Linked DNA regions of Lonchura striata. The protein of the gene in region 1 purifies or fractionates together with the protein of each later gene. This does not show direct contact. Links are inferred from orthologs where the notes say so. Each region holds a gene or a part of one and is shown in the gene's direction. Other genes may lie near its edges.

Region 1 (6,992 bases):
CTGGGGAGACAGAAATTATCATAAATTATCCCAAAGTTAGCATAAATTATCCTAAAGTTATCATAAATTATCATAAATTATCCCAGAGTTATCCCAGAGTCACAGCAGGGTGAACCCGGGCCCGGCCAGCGCCTGGGACACGGCCTGCCGCAGCCACTGCTGCCTCTGGGAGACAGAAATTATCATAAATTATCCCAAAGTTAGCATAAATTATCCTAAAGTTATCATAAATTATCCTAAATTATCCCAGAGTTATCCCAGAGTCACAGCGGGGTGAACCCGGGCCCGGCCAGCGCCTGGGACACGGCCTGCTGCAGCCACTGCTGCCTCTGGGGGGAAAAAATATCATAAATTATCCCAAAGTTAGCCTAAATTATCCTAAATTATCCCAGAGTTATCCCAGAGTCACACCAAGATTAACCCGGGCCCGGCCAGCGCCTGGGACACGGCCTGGCGCAGCCACTGCTGCCTCTGGGGGGAAAAAATATCATAAATTATCTTAAAGTTATAATAAATTATCCTAAATTATCATAAATTATCCCTGAGTTATCCCAGAGTCACAGCGGGGTGAACCCGGGCCCGGCCAGCGCCTGGGACACGGCCTGCCGCAGCCACTGCTGCCTCTGGGGGGAAAAAATATCATAAATTATCTTAAAGTTATAATAAATTATCTTAAAGTTATCATAAATTATCCTAAAGTTATCATAAGTTATCCCAAAATTATCCTAAGTAATTTTCTCAAAGCTATCCTGAATTATCCTAAGTTATCTCAAAGTTATCATAAATTATCCTAAAGTTATTCTAAATTATCCTAGAGTTATCCTAAATAATTATTCTAAAGTTATCCTAAATTGTCCTAAGTTATCCCGAAGGTAGCCTAAATAATTATCCCAAAGTTATCATAAATTATCCTAAAGTTATCCTAAATTATCCTAAATAATTATCCCAAAGTTATCCTAAATTATCCAAAATTATCCCAAAGTTATCATAAATTATCCTAAAGTTATCCTAAATAATTATCCCAAAGTTATAATAAATTATCCCAAAGTTATCCTAAATTATCCTAGTTATTCTAAATAATTATCCCAAAGTTATCCTAAATAATTATCCCAAAGTTATCCTAAATTATCCCAAAGTTAGCCTAAGTTATCCCAAACTTATCCTAAGTAATTATCCCAAAGTTACCCTAAATTATCCTGAGTTATCCCAAAATTATTATAAATTATCCTAGAGTTATCCTAAATAATTATCCCAAAGTTATCCTAAATTATCCCAAAGCTACCCTGAGGTTAAACAAAAATTAAAGCGAAATTAAAGTGAAATTAAAGCAAAATTAAAGTGAAAGTAAAACCAAATTAAAGTGAAATTAAAGTGGGATTAACCCAGAACCCGTCACAGTCTCCGACACCAGAGCAGGGAGCTGCTGCTGCCCTGGGGGGCACAAATTACCCTAAATTAACCCAAAATTACCCCAAAATCGGCCAAAATTACCCCAAAATCAGCCAGAGTCACCCCAAAATCAGCCAAAGTCACCCCAAAATCGGCCAAAATTACCCCAAAATCAGCCAGAGTCACCCCAAAATCAGCCAGAGTCACCCCAAAATCGGGCAAAGTTACCCCAAAATCGGGCAAAATTACCCCAAAATTGGGCAAAATCACCCCAAAATCGGCCAGAGTCACCCCAAAATCGGCCAAAATTACCCCAAAATCGGGCAAAATCACCCCAAAATCAGCCAGAGTCACCCCAAAATCGGCCAAAATTACCCCAAAATCCGGCAAAATTACCCCAAAATCAGCCAGAGTCACCCCAAAATCGGCCAAAATTACCCCAAAATCGGGCAAAATCACCCCAAAATCAGCCAGAGTCACCCCAAAATTCGCCTCTGGCACCTCAAACCAGGCCCTGGGACCCCGAATTATCCCGGGGACCCCCAAACCCCCAAAAGTGACTCCAGAGCCCCAAAAGTGACCCCAAAGTGTCCCAAAAGTGACCCCAAAAGTGACCCCAAAGAGCCCCAAAAGTGACCCCAAAGTGTCCCAAAAGTGTCCCAAAAGTGTCCCCAGAGCCTCAAAAGTGACCCCAGAGCCCCAAAAGTTCCCCCAAAGTGTCCCAAAAGTGACCCCAAAGTGTCCCCAGAGAGGCTGAAAAGCCCCAAAAGTGACCCCAGAGCCCCAAAAGTGTCCCCAGAGCCTCAAAAGTGACCCCAGGGCCCCAAAAGTGTCCCCAAAGTGTCCCCAGAGAGGCCAAAAAGCCCCAAAAGTGACCCCAGACAGCCCCAAAGCTTCCAGACAGCCCCAAAGAGCCCCAAAAGTGCCCCCAAAGTGTCCCCAGAGAGGCCAAAGTGCCCCAAAAGTGCCCCCAAAGTGTCCCCAGAGAAGCTGAAAAGCCCCAAAGTGTCCCCAGACAGCCCCAAAGAGCCCCAAAAGTGACCCCAAAGAGCCCAAAAAGCCCCAAAAGTGCCCCCAGACAGCCCCAAAGAGCCCCCAAAAGTGTCCCCAGAGAGGCCAAAAAGCTCCAAAAGTGACCCCAGAGCCCCAAAAGTGTCCCCAGAGCCTCAAAAGTGACCCCAGAGCCTCAAAAGTGACCCTAGGGCCCCAAAAGTGTCACAAAAGTGTCCCCAGAGAGGCCAAAAAGTTCCAAAAGTGACTCCAAAGCCCCAAAAGTGTCCCAAAAGTGTCCCAAAAGTGTCCCCAGAGAGGCTGAAAAGCCCCAAAAGTGACCCCAGACAGCCCCAAAGCTTCCAGACAGCCCCAAAGAGCCCCAAAAGCCCCAAAAGTGTCCCCAAAGTGTCCCCAGAGAGGCCAAAAAGCCCCAAAAGTGACTCCAAAGCCCCAAAAGTGCCCCCAAAGAGCCCAAAGAGCCTGAAAAGTGTCCCCAGAGAGGCCAAAAAGTTCCAAAAGTGACTCCAGAGCCCCAAAAGTGTCCCAAAAGTGTCCCCAGAGAGCCCAAAGAGCCCCAAAAGTGACCCCAGAGCCCCAAAAGTGACCCCAAAGTGCCCCCAAAGTGTCCCCAGAGAAGCCAAAAAGCTCCAAAAGTGACCCCAGAGCCCCAAAAGTGTCACAAAAGTGTCCCCAGAGAGGCCAAAAAGTTCCAAAAGTGACTCCAAAGCCCCAAAAGTGTCCCAAAAGTGTCCCCAGAGAGGCTGAAAAGCCCCAAAAGTGACCCCAGAGAACCCCCAAAGCTTCCAGACAGCCCCAAAGAGCCCCAAAAGTGCCCCCAAAAGTGCCCCCAAAGTGTCCCCAGAGCCCCAAAAGTGACCCCAAAGCGTCCCCAGAGCGCCCCCGAGCCCCCCGAGCCCCCCGGGTCCCGCCCGGCGCCGGCACCTCCTCGGGCAGGGGCTGGCGGGGCTCGGGCCGCGCCTCGCCGGCCGCCAGCGCCATCTCCAGCAGCCCCTGCAGCGTCCGCGGCGGCTCCCGCCGGCCGCCGCCGGCCCCGCCGCCCTCCGCCGCTGCCATGGCCGCGCCGCGCGCCGCTCCGAGAGCCCCGGGGCCGATCGGGGCCGATCCGGGGCCGATCCGGGACCGATCCGGGCCCGCCGGGAGCCGCCGGTGCCGCCCGGCCCCGCTCAGCGCCGCCCGCCGCGCCTGCCCGCCGCCATCTTGGCGTGGGCGGGGCCAGCGGCGGAAGGGGCGGGGTTTCGGCCGCATTGTTTATGGCCGGCGCATTGTGAGCCGGCGGAGTGAGTGACAGCGCGCTCGGCCAATAGCGAGGGAGGAGCGGGAGGGAGGAGGCCAATAGGAAGCGAGGAAGGCGGTTGGGTTTAGCCAATAGAATAAAAAGGAGGGATTTCAGCCGCCCTCGAGCGAATTCAACCAATGACAAGACAAAACGCTTTGATCGGCATCTCCGCGGGCCAATAGCCAGCCCTCAACGCCGCGGACCAATGCGGGAGCGCCGCGGTTGCCACCAATCAGCTCACCGTGCGCCTCGCGGGCAGCCAATGGGAGCGGCGGCGCGGCGGGGCGGCGGCCAATGGGGATGGCGGAGCGCGCGGCGGGAGCGGGCGGGCGGCGGCGCCGCGGCCGCGCCGGGCCCGGTGCGGGCGGCGGCTCCCGCGGCTCCCGCGGCTCCGGCGCTGCGGTAACGGCCGGGCCGGGGCTCCCGGCGCTCCCGGGGCTCGCCGCGCGCTCGGGCTGCGCCCCGCGGGCGCTCCCGCTGACGCCGCTCGCGGTGCTGCAGGCGCGGCGGCGGAGGAGGCGGCGGCGGGAGCGGCCGGCGGCGGCGCGGGCGGCGGGGACGGCGGTGACGGCGCGGGAGCTGTGCGAGAACGATGACCTGGCCACGAGCCTCGTGCTGGACTCGGTGCTCGGCTTCCGCACGCACAAGATGGGCGTCAGGTCAGAGCGGGGGAGAACCGGGGGGAACCGGGAGGGAGAACCGGGGGGAGAACCGGGGGGAGAACCGGGAGAGAGAACCGGGGGGAGAACCGGGAGGGAAAACCGGGGGGGAGAACCGGGAGGGAGAAACGGGGGGGAGAACCGGGGGGGAAAACCGGGGGACACTGGGGGAGCACCGGGAGGGAGAACCGGGCGGCACCATGTGTCCGTGCCGGTGCCCGGTGCCCATGCCCGGTGCCCATGCCCGGTGCTGATGCCCGGTGCCGGTGCTGGTGCCCGGTGCCAGTGCCCATGCCCGGTGCTGATGCCTGGTGCCCATGCCCGGTGCCCATGCCCGATGCCCGGTGCCCATGCCCGGTGCCCGGTGCGGTGCCCGGTGCCGGTGCTGATGCTCGGTGCCCGGTGCCCATGCCCGGTGCCCATGCCCGGTGCCCATGCCCAGTGCGGTGCCGGTGCCCATGCCCGGTGCCCGGTGCTGATGCCCAGTGCCCATGCCCGATGCCCGGTGCCCATGCCCGGTGCCCATGCCCGGTGCCCATGCCCAGTGCGGTGCCGGTGCCCATGCCCGGTGCCCATGCCCAGTGCGGTGCCGGTGCCCATGCCCGGTGCCCGGTGCTGATGCCCAGTGCCCATGCCCGATGCCCGGTGCCCATGCCCGGTGCTGATGCCCGGTGCGGTGCCAGTGCCCATACCCGGTGCCCGGTGCCCATGCCCGGTGCCCATGCCCGGTGCCCATGCCCGGTGCCCATGCCCGGTGCCGGTGCCCGGTGCCCAGTGCCCATGCCCAGTGCCGATGCCCGGTGCCGGTGCCCATGCCCAGTGCCCATACCCGGTGCCCGGTGCCCATGCCTGGTGCCCATGCCCAGTGCCGGTGCCCATGCCCGGTGCCCGGTGCGGTGCCCAGTGCCGGTGCTGATGCCCGGTGCCGGTGCCGGTGCTGATGCCCGGTGCCGGTGCTGATGCCCGGTGCCGGTGCCCGGTGCCGGTGCCCATGCCCGGTGCCGGTGCTGATGCCCGGTGCCCATGCCCGGTGCCGGTGCCCATGCCCGGTGCCCGGTGCCGGTGCCCGGTGCCGGTGCTGATGCCCGGTGCCCATGCCCAGTGCCCATGCCCGGTGCGGTGCCAGTGCCCGATGCCCATGCCCGGTGCTGATGCCCGGTGCCCATGCCCGGTGCCCATACCCGGTGCCCGGTGCCCATGCCCGGTGCCCGGTGCTGGTGCCCATGCCCGGTGCCCGGTGCCTGGTGCCGGTGCTGATGCCCGGTGCCCATGCCCGGTACGGTGCCCATGCCCGGTGCCGGTGCTGATGCCCGGTGCCGGTGCCCATGCCCGGTGCCGGTGCCCATGCCCGGTGCCGGTGCCCGGTGCCGGTGCTGATGCCCGGTGCCGGTGCCCATGCCCGGTGCCGGTGCCCATGCCCGGTGCCGGTGCCCGGTGCCGGTGCTGATGCCCGGTGCCCATGCCTGGTGCCCATACCCGGTGCCCGGTGCCCATGCCCGTGCCCGGTGCCGGTGCCCGGTGCCGGTCCTGATGCCCGGTGCCCGTGCCCAGTGCCCCTGCCCGGTGCCGGTGCTGATGCCCGGTGCCGGTGCCCGGTGCCGGTGCTGATGGCCGGTGCCCCGCAGCCCCCTGCCCGCCCTGCGGCGCCGGGCCCAGCTGCGGGCGGCCATCGAGGCGTTCCGGCAGCGGCGGGACCTGGAGGCGGCGTGGCGGACGCTGAGCGGCGCCTGGGCCCCGGCGTTCTTCCGCCGGCGGCGGGCGGCGCAGCGGGCGGCGCTCAAGAACCACGTACGGCGGGATTGGGGGCATTGGGGGGGACTGGGGGGGATTGGGGGAGATTTGGGGGGAGTTTGGGGGGTTTGGGGGGTCCCGGGGGGGATTGGGGGAGATCTGGGGGGGATTTGGGGGAGATCTGGGGGAGTTTGGGGGGATTGGGGGGCACTGGGGGGGATTTGGGGGAGATCTGGGGGGGTTTGGGGGAGATTTGGGGGAGTTTGGGGGGTCCCGGGGAGGTTTGGGGGGGTTTGGGGGAGATTTGGGGGAGTTTGGGGGAAGTTTGGGGGGAGTTTCGGGGGAGTTTGGGGGTGATTGGGGGGTCCCGGGGGAGACTGGGGGGGATTGGGGGAAGTTTGGGGAGATTGGGGGAGATTTGGGGGGGTTTGGGGGGTCCCGGGGGGGATTGGGGGAAGTTTGGGGGGTCCCGGGGGGGATTTGGGGGTCCCGGGAGGGTTTGGGGGGAGATTTGGGGGGAGTTTGGGGGGGTCCCGGGGGCGTTTGGGGGAAGTTTGGGGGAGTTTGGGGGGTCCCGGGGGGGATTGGGGGAGATCTGGGGGGTCCCGGGGGCGTTTGGGGGAAGTTTGGGAGGGTTGGGGGGAGATTTGGGGGGAGTCTGGGGGGTCCCGGGGGGGTTTGGGGGTAAGGGATGAATGGGGGGTCTGCTGGGGTCCTATTGGGGGGCACAGAGGGGTCTGTGGGGCACAGGGAAGGATTCTGAGGGATTTCTGAGGGATCCATGGGGCACAGGGAAGGTTTCTGAGAGGCACAGGGAAGGATTTTGGGGGGTTTTTGTGGGATCCATGAGGCACAGGGAAGGTTTCTGAGGGATCCATGAGGCACAGGGAAGGATTCTGAGGGATCCATGGGGCACAGGGAGG
Region 2 (7,404 bases), on another chromosome or scaffold:
ACATACAAAAGTATCACTAGCTCATACATGTGAAAATTTCATGCCAAATACTTAAAAAATGCACTAACAAGTAGTCCCCTTCCACACATTTATTATTTTGGAATGTTGTTTTGAAGAGAACTCTTCTGGACAAGAGAACTCAAACCAAATCACTTCAGCTTTATACTGTTAACTAACTTTAATAATCAAGAAAATATGCTTGGGCCTTTGGCTGTGTTTTCATTAGTGTAGTGGTTGCTTTATATACAACTCAAACATTACAGCAGGAGGTGTAACTGACAAACACAACATGATTAATTGTGCAATGGGGATTAAGATAAATTTTAAAAAAAGAACTAGAAAAACACTGAGACTAAGAAAACAAGCAAAATATTTCTGTGTACATATGCTTTTGGAAGAATTAAGCCAATCTGCACACAGACCAATGTATTTTCTGAAGTTGTCCAAGGTAGGCCTGGATCAAGATGCATGTAACACAGTACAATTACCGTAGGCAGTGACAACCCAGGGTTTTTTTTTCAAAATACACCTCTGTATTACCAGCCTTTCATACTGCAGTCTGACAAGGAAGTCAACTTTCTCCCCTCCTTCTTCCAAATACATACTCTATTTAAGATTGATCAGTTCAAATTTCTCTTGAAAAATATTTGACTCTGCTGTTGGATCTAGTTATTTTTCTTCTAAGAACACAAAGAAAGCTAGTACTGTCTCCTCCTTAGACAAAAGGACAAGCAAAATAAGACACATGTTCACAAGCAGCAGACACATGTTTCAACTAATTCCTTTTCACCTCATCACATAAAAGGAACAAAGAACACTGCACACCAGACCAGTATAAAAAAAACATATTCACCATATGTCATAGTATTATTTATTAATTTTGAGTAAAAGAGCAAAGAAAAATTTTTAAGCAACAATACTGCAAAAATAAAAATCCTCCCTTCAGTTCTGCTGCTTGAGAATTAGGGACCACTTGCTTACAGTTGGATATAAAAATGTGGTTTTTTTTGTAGATCTATGAAATCTATTACCACCCATTTAATAAAGGACATTATTATAAAAATATGAGAATTAAGTAAGTTTAGTAGACAGGCAGGATTTTTTCCAGTGTTATTGTTACCCCCTGAAAACAGCTACAAACCTGCAAACAGAACTCAAGAAACAATTGTAAAATTATAAAATATACAATAACAATTATAAAAATATACTACATATAACTAACAGACATTAAACAGAATAGTAATGCATTTTACAGATGTATTTAGGGTCATGATCTACCCAGAACATCTAAGCACCACACGTCAGAAAACAGCAATAACGAAATTAATTACCAGTTCTTTAATGAAAACCACTGTGCGAAAACAGCACACACGCTGCTCCACTAACACGAAATCTCTAGATGCAGATAAACTATCTGTCTCAAATGAGCCAGTCTGAAGAAGCTCTGGTTGGCCTAACACTAACCTACCAAAGTCCAGAGAGTTCTGCACATCTAAAGTTTGTGCTGAAGGTATAAAATGTACAATAACTATCATCATGCCAGTGTCTCATAGAGTCCTAAGGAAAATACTCTTTTGCTACAGACAGACACCTCATACCTAGGAAAGGCCACAATATAAAAGCTGGAGGTTAACACCTCTTTCAAGATTTCCACAGTATGGCCCGTGGCAGGAACAAAGCACTAAGGGAAATTTCTACCTCTGTAGGATCTTCATGCGTGTGTATTTTAAGCTTTACTCCACAGTCTTAAAGCAACTTGAAAGCACTGAAAAACGCATAGCCTTTACTAAAAAATTAATCACCAGAGAAAGGAAAGGTGTTTCACATAGCTGTAACGTGCGCAGACACAATCCACGCTGACAGCGGAATTAAGAACTCGGGTAACAGCAATGTTTACCGGAGACGAGCGAGGGGGAATCCCTGAACTCCAGAGCTCCGCAACCCCTCAGCGGCAGCTCGCTCGCCGCCTGTGGCGGCCGGGACGCAGCGGCCGCGCCGGCTCCACCATGTGGCGGCAGCGGGAACACCGCGGCCCCGAGCCGGGCGGGGAAAATGGCGCCCGGGAGCAGCCGCCGCCTCCAGGGACAGCGCTGCGAATTGCTGCCAGCGTACACCTACACACACGGTACTAAGGCCTCTCCAGCGCTCCTTCTCGCCCCCGTGCATACCAGACGACTACAGCTGACGCCCGCCTTGCCCACTCTGCCGGAGGGATCCCCAGTGCCTCTCGCAGACGCGAGTCCCAGCCAGGCCGCCATTTTACCCCTCCCCCTCGCCACCGCCATTACCCGCAGCGCCGCTCGGCCGCTCCGCGCCTCGGGGGGCCAAGACGGCCCCCCCAGCCCGCGGGGCTCAGACTCCCCCCGCTCCTCCGACACCTCAGCAGCAGCGCAGCTAATAGCCATGGCCACGGGCTCAAGAACGCGCTGTCCGCCATGCGCGGTTACCGCAGCTTCCGCCGCCTCGCCCGGCTGTGCGCCAGCCCCAGTCGCCGCTTCCAAAACCTTCCTCTGCGCAAAGACATCCAGCATCCGCCCCGCGCTGCGACCGGCGGCAGCGCCTGGACTTGTGCGGACGACTCAAGCTTGCTTGTAATTCTGAGTCCCGAAAAAATTCACTCTGTCTACACAAGCAAACGCGTCTCCCTCCTTAAAAGCAAGGTCTAAATCCACCCATTCCACGTACCATGTTCTTCATGGTTTATGTATTCCCGCTCGAGAGTACCGTACAACTGGTCGGTAATGGCTGCCTGAGCTGTTACGTAATTTGAAATTCAGCTCCGCGTAGTGTTAGCGCCCTCGTACTCCAGCTCGGGCTCGCTTCCGAGGTTTAATTAATTAAAAAAAAAAAAAAAAAAGAAAAAAAAAAAGAAAAAAAAAACTACAGGATCTGGAGCTTAAATATCTCCAAAGGGGCTGCAATTCTGAATAATGCCCCTACGTGTTTTTATCGTGTAATGAAAGTCATCGACTCCGTTAGTAATGGCCGTCTCCGAAATGAGCCGAAGGAGCTGTCGTCGTCGAGCTTATCCGCTTCGACAGCCGCCGGAAAAAGCCGAACCAGGAATGGAAGCCCATTCGACTCGCTTCGGTAATTTCCGGAATCTGCCGCAGCACGCGAAAATGGCGCTCGGGGCCAGCTCGGCAATTTCCGGACAGAAAGACGCAGCAAGTCACCGACTACTTCAGCCAACTCGGCAGTTTCTGACCATCGACAGGCTCGCGAGACGTGCCCGAGCGCAGCCGTAGCGGCCTCGAACGCTACTGGCACTCAATTTTGTTTGGTTTTTTTTATGGAAATTGACAAAAGGCCCCGAAGGCACAAACCTCGGCGTTATTATTAGTCGGGGGCGGCAGCGCATCGCTCCCCGAAACCTCGCCCTGGCCCCCTTCCTCCTCCGCCCAGGCAGGAGGAAGTGAAAGTTACACAGATTTTGGCACAAGTGCGATATATCGCGGGGCCCCGGCGGAGGGAGGCGGACTTCGCCGCAGCTCGCTCCGCTCTAGCCCGCACCATCGGCATCGGGCGTGCTGCCCGCTCCGCCGCGCTGTCCTCTTCTTCTCCTTCATCCCCTCCTTTTTTCCCTCTCCGGCGGCCCTACGCGCACCGCGACAAAGGGTGAGTGCTGCCGCCCCGCGCGCCAAAGAAATGGCGCTGGAGCAGCTCCTTTCTTCCCGCCCCCTCTGCTCCCCCTCCCTTTCAGCTTCACCGCGGATCCACCCGCAGCTCTCCTGGCTGCAGTGAAGGCTCCCCAGCCGACTCCCCCGACCCCTTTTCCCACTTATGAATGAGTTCTCGGGCCCCAGAGCCCCGCAGCTTCCCGAGCCCCCTTCCCTCCCCCCGCCCTTGCTCACACCCAGGCCTCCCCGCCGCAACGCGGGAAATGGCCGCCCTCCAAAGGGGGCCCCTCCAAACGAGCTTCAAACCTACGCCAGCGCTCCTCGCCTGCCCTCCCCACGCCCGGGGCCCGCCCGGCCGCCCCGATCGAGGGCCTCGCTCCGCGGCGGCGGGCAGCATCGGCCCGAAGCGCATTCGCTGCGGCCGCCATGATGGCGGCCGTGGCTCTCGGGGTCCGCCAACCCCGCCCGCTCCCCCAGGCTTACCCAGTCGCTTTCCCTGTCGCCGCGAGGCATCTTCCTTCTTTTGGACGCCTGGCGCGGTCCTGCGCTCGCCCCGCGTTGGAGAGACGTCTTGGCCCCCCTCCTGTGCCGGCGGCGACGACGGTCGGAGGTTGTAGCGGCTCGCGCGTAGGCGGCGGCGGCGTCGTGCGCTCTGCCCCGTCACAGCCGCCGGCGCGCAGAGCTCGCCCGGCCCAGCCCAGCCCAGCCCGCCACCGCCGCGCCGCTCTCCGCCCTCCGCTCCCGCCCTCCCTCTCTCGCTCCCTCCCTGCCCCCACCCCCCGCCTCAGCCCCCCGCGGATGTCGCTGTTGCTGCTGCCGCCGCCGCTCAGTGCGCGCAGGGCGGGAGCCAGGAGGAGACAGGAGACCTAAGCGGCTGGGCACCATTGAAGTCTGTATCCTTCTCTCTCTCTCTCTCTCCCTCTTTTCTTTCGCTGCAGCCGCTTCCTTTCACCCCATTCACCCTCGAGTCCCTTTCCCTGACTCCCCTTTCCTCTGCGGCTCGCTGCGGGCCGCCGCGGGGAGATGCGGAGCGCAACCCGCCCGCCTCCCCCCACCGCCGCTTCTTCCCCACCCCCGCTTCCTTGGCGGTGGGGGGTGGCGGGCGGAGCGGAGCTGTCGGGGAATCGGGGCTTCGGCACCCGCTCGGGGAGGGAGGGAGGGAGGGAGGCAGGCCGGCGCCCGGGCACGCGGGCGCTGTCGCCCCAGGGGAAGGAGAGCAGTGCCGGGGGCGGGGGCAGCGGCACCCGCGCGGCAGACAAAGCCGGCCCGCCGGCGGTCCCTACGTGTGCTCGGCCCGGGGAAGACGTGAAGGGGCGGGGGGAAGATGGCGTGGAGGGGCCCTGTCAGCGGCGGCGGAAGCGGCCCAGGCCTGCGTCCCCGTTACCTCGCCCGGGGCAGCCCCGCCGGCCTCATGTGCGCCCGCCGCAGGCCCGAGGCGCAGCAGGCCTCCGCAGGGCTGCCTCTGGTTTGTGGCGGGGGGGATTGTTGCTATTGGGTTTTGGGTTTTTTTTTTTTTACCCCTTTCTGCTGCCTCTCCGGGGGACGCAAGGCAAGACCTTCGGCACTGGCGCCCTGGCCCCGGCCCTTTTCCCACCTCGCCTAACCCACCGCCCATGCGGCTGCCAAAATCCGCCTCCCGTGTCAGGGGAGGATTGGGCGGGATTGCTGAGTCCGGAAGGCTTTCTGGCCTTAAAGGACTTTTCTGCTTTACCCAGGCATATGGGGAATTCTAGCATTTCTATAGCTCGCTGCGGGGCGGTGACAATACATGCCTATGGAGCTGGTCGGTATGAGAAATGACATGGAAAAGGGGATGGATTGTGTTCAACCTAATTTGCATAGGTTAAATATGTAGTATGTACATCTTAGCTGAGTTAATATTGTTTTAGGACCTTAACTCTTGCCAACTTGAGAATCAGAAGGCAACATTATAGTTGCATTAAGAGAAATATTTGCTGTTTATAAGAATTTGCTACCATGTAAGAATAATGGGTGATTCATTGCACCACAAATATATATATCTTCCCCATCAGATATTTACAGTTAATATACCTTAGGTATGTCTTCAATTGCTAGAATTTGAGCTCTGTTTCTATTTGGTTTAAGGAAATGAGCATCCCTGATGGTCCTCCCCCTTTTCCCTAGAAACATGTCTATGCTTTTGAAGGCCTTGGGAAAAATTTTTTTCAACCCTATATACCACCTTGTCAGTATCATTTATCCTGGCTAGCCTAATGGTGCATTACTGGGTTATGCCGGACAAAGTAGTAACCTACTTTTTGTTCTGGATTTAATCCGTGTAAGAAATGTTGTATGCAGTGAATACATGGGGGTTGGAACAAGGACCATGCTTGTCTTGGGATGCCTTTCTTTGAGTAATGCAAACTTCCTTTTAATTGTCATGCATTTTTCTAGTAAAAGCTCTGCAAGTCTGCAATAAAAATGGCCTCCAATAAAACTACATTGGTAAGTTCATGCACACCTAAAGTATATAAGGATTTAATCAACATATTTTTCTTCAAACTTATAACTTGGCATCTCCATTTAAAAGATACATCCACATCTCCCCTCCCCAGCATTATTCTGACCAAATTTCAGATCCAGAAAGTAAGGCTACTAGAAAGGACATTGTCTTTGGTTTTAATAAATCTGCCATTTCTAAAGAGAAACGTGTTGAGAAAAAAGTATGAAAGGACTCTGCACTATTTCATCTATTCTACAATAGAAAATACTGAGGATTTTTTTTAGCCTCCTTTCAGCATACCATGTAATTCATCATACATGTAAAAAATAAAGTCTAAATCATGTATTCACTTAATTTCTCCCAGTGTATTTGGAGAAAAATATTTGCCTGACAAAAGGCAATCTTTACAGATGGAAAGTAACATTATTGAGAAATGATGTGGCATAATTAAGATGCCTTTTGAAATGCTTTTTAACAAATAACAGTTTCTTTGAATTTCATAGGAGCAGAGATTATCAGATGTCAACCCTTCCTGGACCATTTTAATGATGCATTCATGGATCTCAAGTCCTCTAAAGCTTTGCTTGACATTAAAATATGGACTTCCAATGGCAGTTGGTTGCTGGTTGCAGTTCAACTAATACTGATACATAGTTTCATGAAAGACAGACCTGTAGAAGTATATTGTGAGATGTATCTGAGATTGAGATGGGGAAGCAAGCCAAAATATATGTGCACAATTCAAAACTCCAGCAGCAGAACAGCTGGTTTATAATAGTCTCGAAAGGCCTGTTCTTAAATTTACAGAAATGTTTACTCAGTTCAAAATATATTCAAAACTTTTATTAACTCCTGGCTTAGAAGTGCAACGGAGTGCTTCCTCTGTGTTGTACTGGTTTAAAATATTTCACCGAGATGAATGTCTAAACTTTCTGTTAGTAATTGATTGTCCACTTATCCCTAATTTGAAGAAGAGAAGAAGTTAGCCAGCCTGGGAAAGGGTGCTTTGGAGAGAGGAAAAAAATCTTTTGAATGTGGTATTTTTAATCTTTTGATGTTATTGAGAATTTTGCTGTACAGGTCAGGAAAATCAGTTATGGTTCCCATGGGAACCATAACTAATTCTGCTTAGTTATATATTTGCATGCAAAACCTAAATATGTTAAGGGGTAGGGTAGCTCTAGAGCTGTAATTCCAATTTTCTTACATCTTGTATGTTAAAATTTTACACCACAGTGTCACATCAGTGTTTTAACCTTGCCCCTCAACGAAAGAGTGTTTATCCATAGATCTACATCTGTCATATGTGGTGTCATATGA

The links. The genes of interacting proteins can lie anywhere in the genome.
Region 2: the proteins of KMT5C (region 1) and CBX3 purify together in Homo sapiens (affinity purification with western blotting; 3 studies listed by BioGRID and IntAct, with this or other methods). This does not show direct contact. The link is inferred for Lonchura striata from reciprocal best matches to the Homo sapiens genes KMT5C and CBX3.

What each region holds. Positions count from the first base shown.
Region 1 is NC_134640.1:2,778,003-2,784,994, forward strand, and holds the start of KMT5C (histone-lysine N-methyltransferase KMT5C), read left to right. Parts: upstream 1-3,979; coding exon 3,980-3,994; intron 3,995-4,180; coding exon 4,181-4,338; intron 4,339-5,963; coding exon 5,964-6,126; intron 6,127-6,992. UniProt on the Homo sapiens protein: Histone methyltransferase that specifically methylates monomethylated 'Lys-20' (H4K20me1) and dimethylated 'Lys-20' (H4K20me2) of histone H4 to produce respectively dimethylated 'Lys-20' (H4K20me2) and trimethylated 'Lys-20' (H4K20me3) and thus regulates transcription and maintenance of genome integrity.
Region 2 is NC_134603.1:123,910,339-123,917,742, reverse strand, and holds the start of CBX3 (chromobox protein homolog 3), read left to right. Parts: upstream 1-4,388; 5' UTR 4,389-4,509; intron 4,510-6,035; exon of another isoform or gene 6,036-6,062; coding exon of another isoform or gene 6,063-6,086; intron 6,087-7,404. Other genes in the region: HNRNPA2B1 (heterogeneous nuclear ribonucleoproteins A2/B1), read right to left, coding at 4,104-4,133.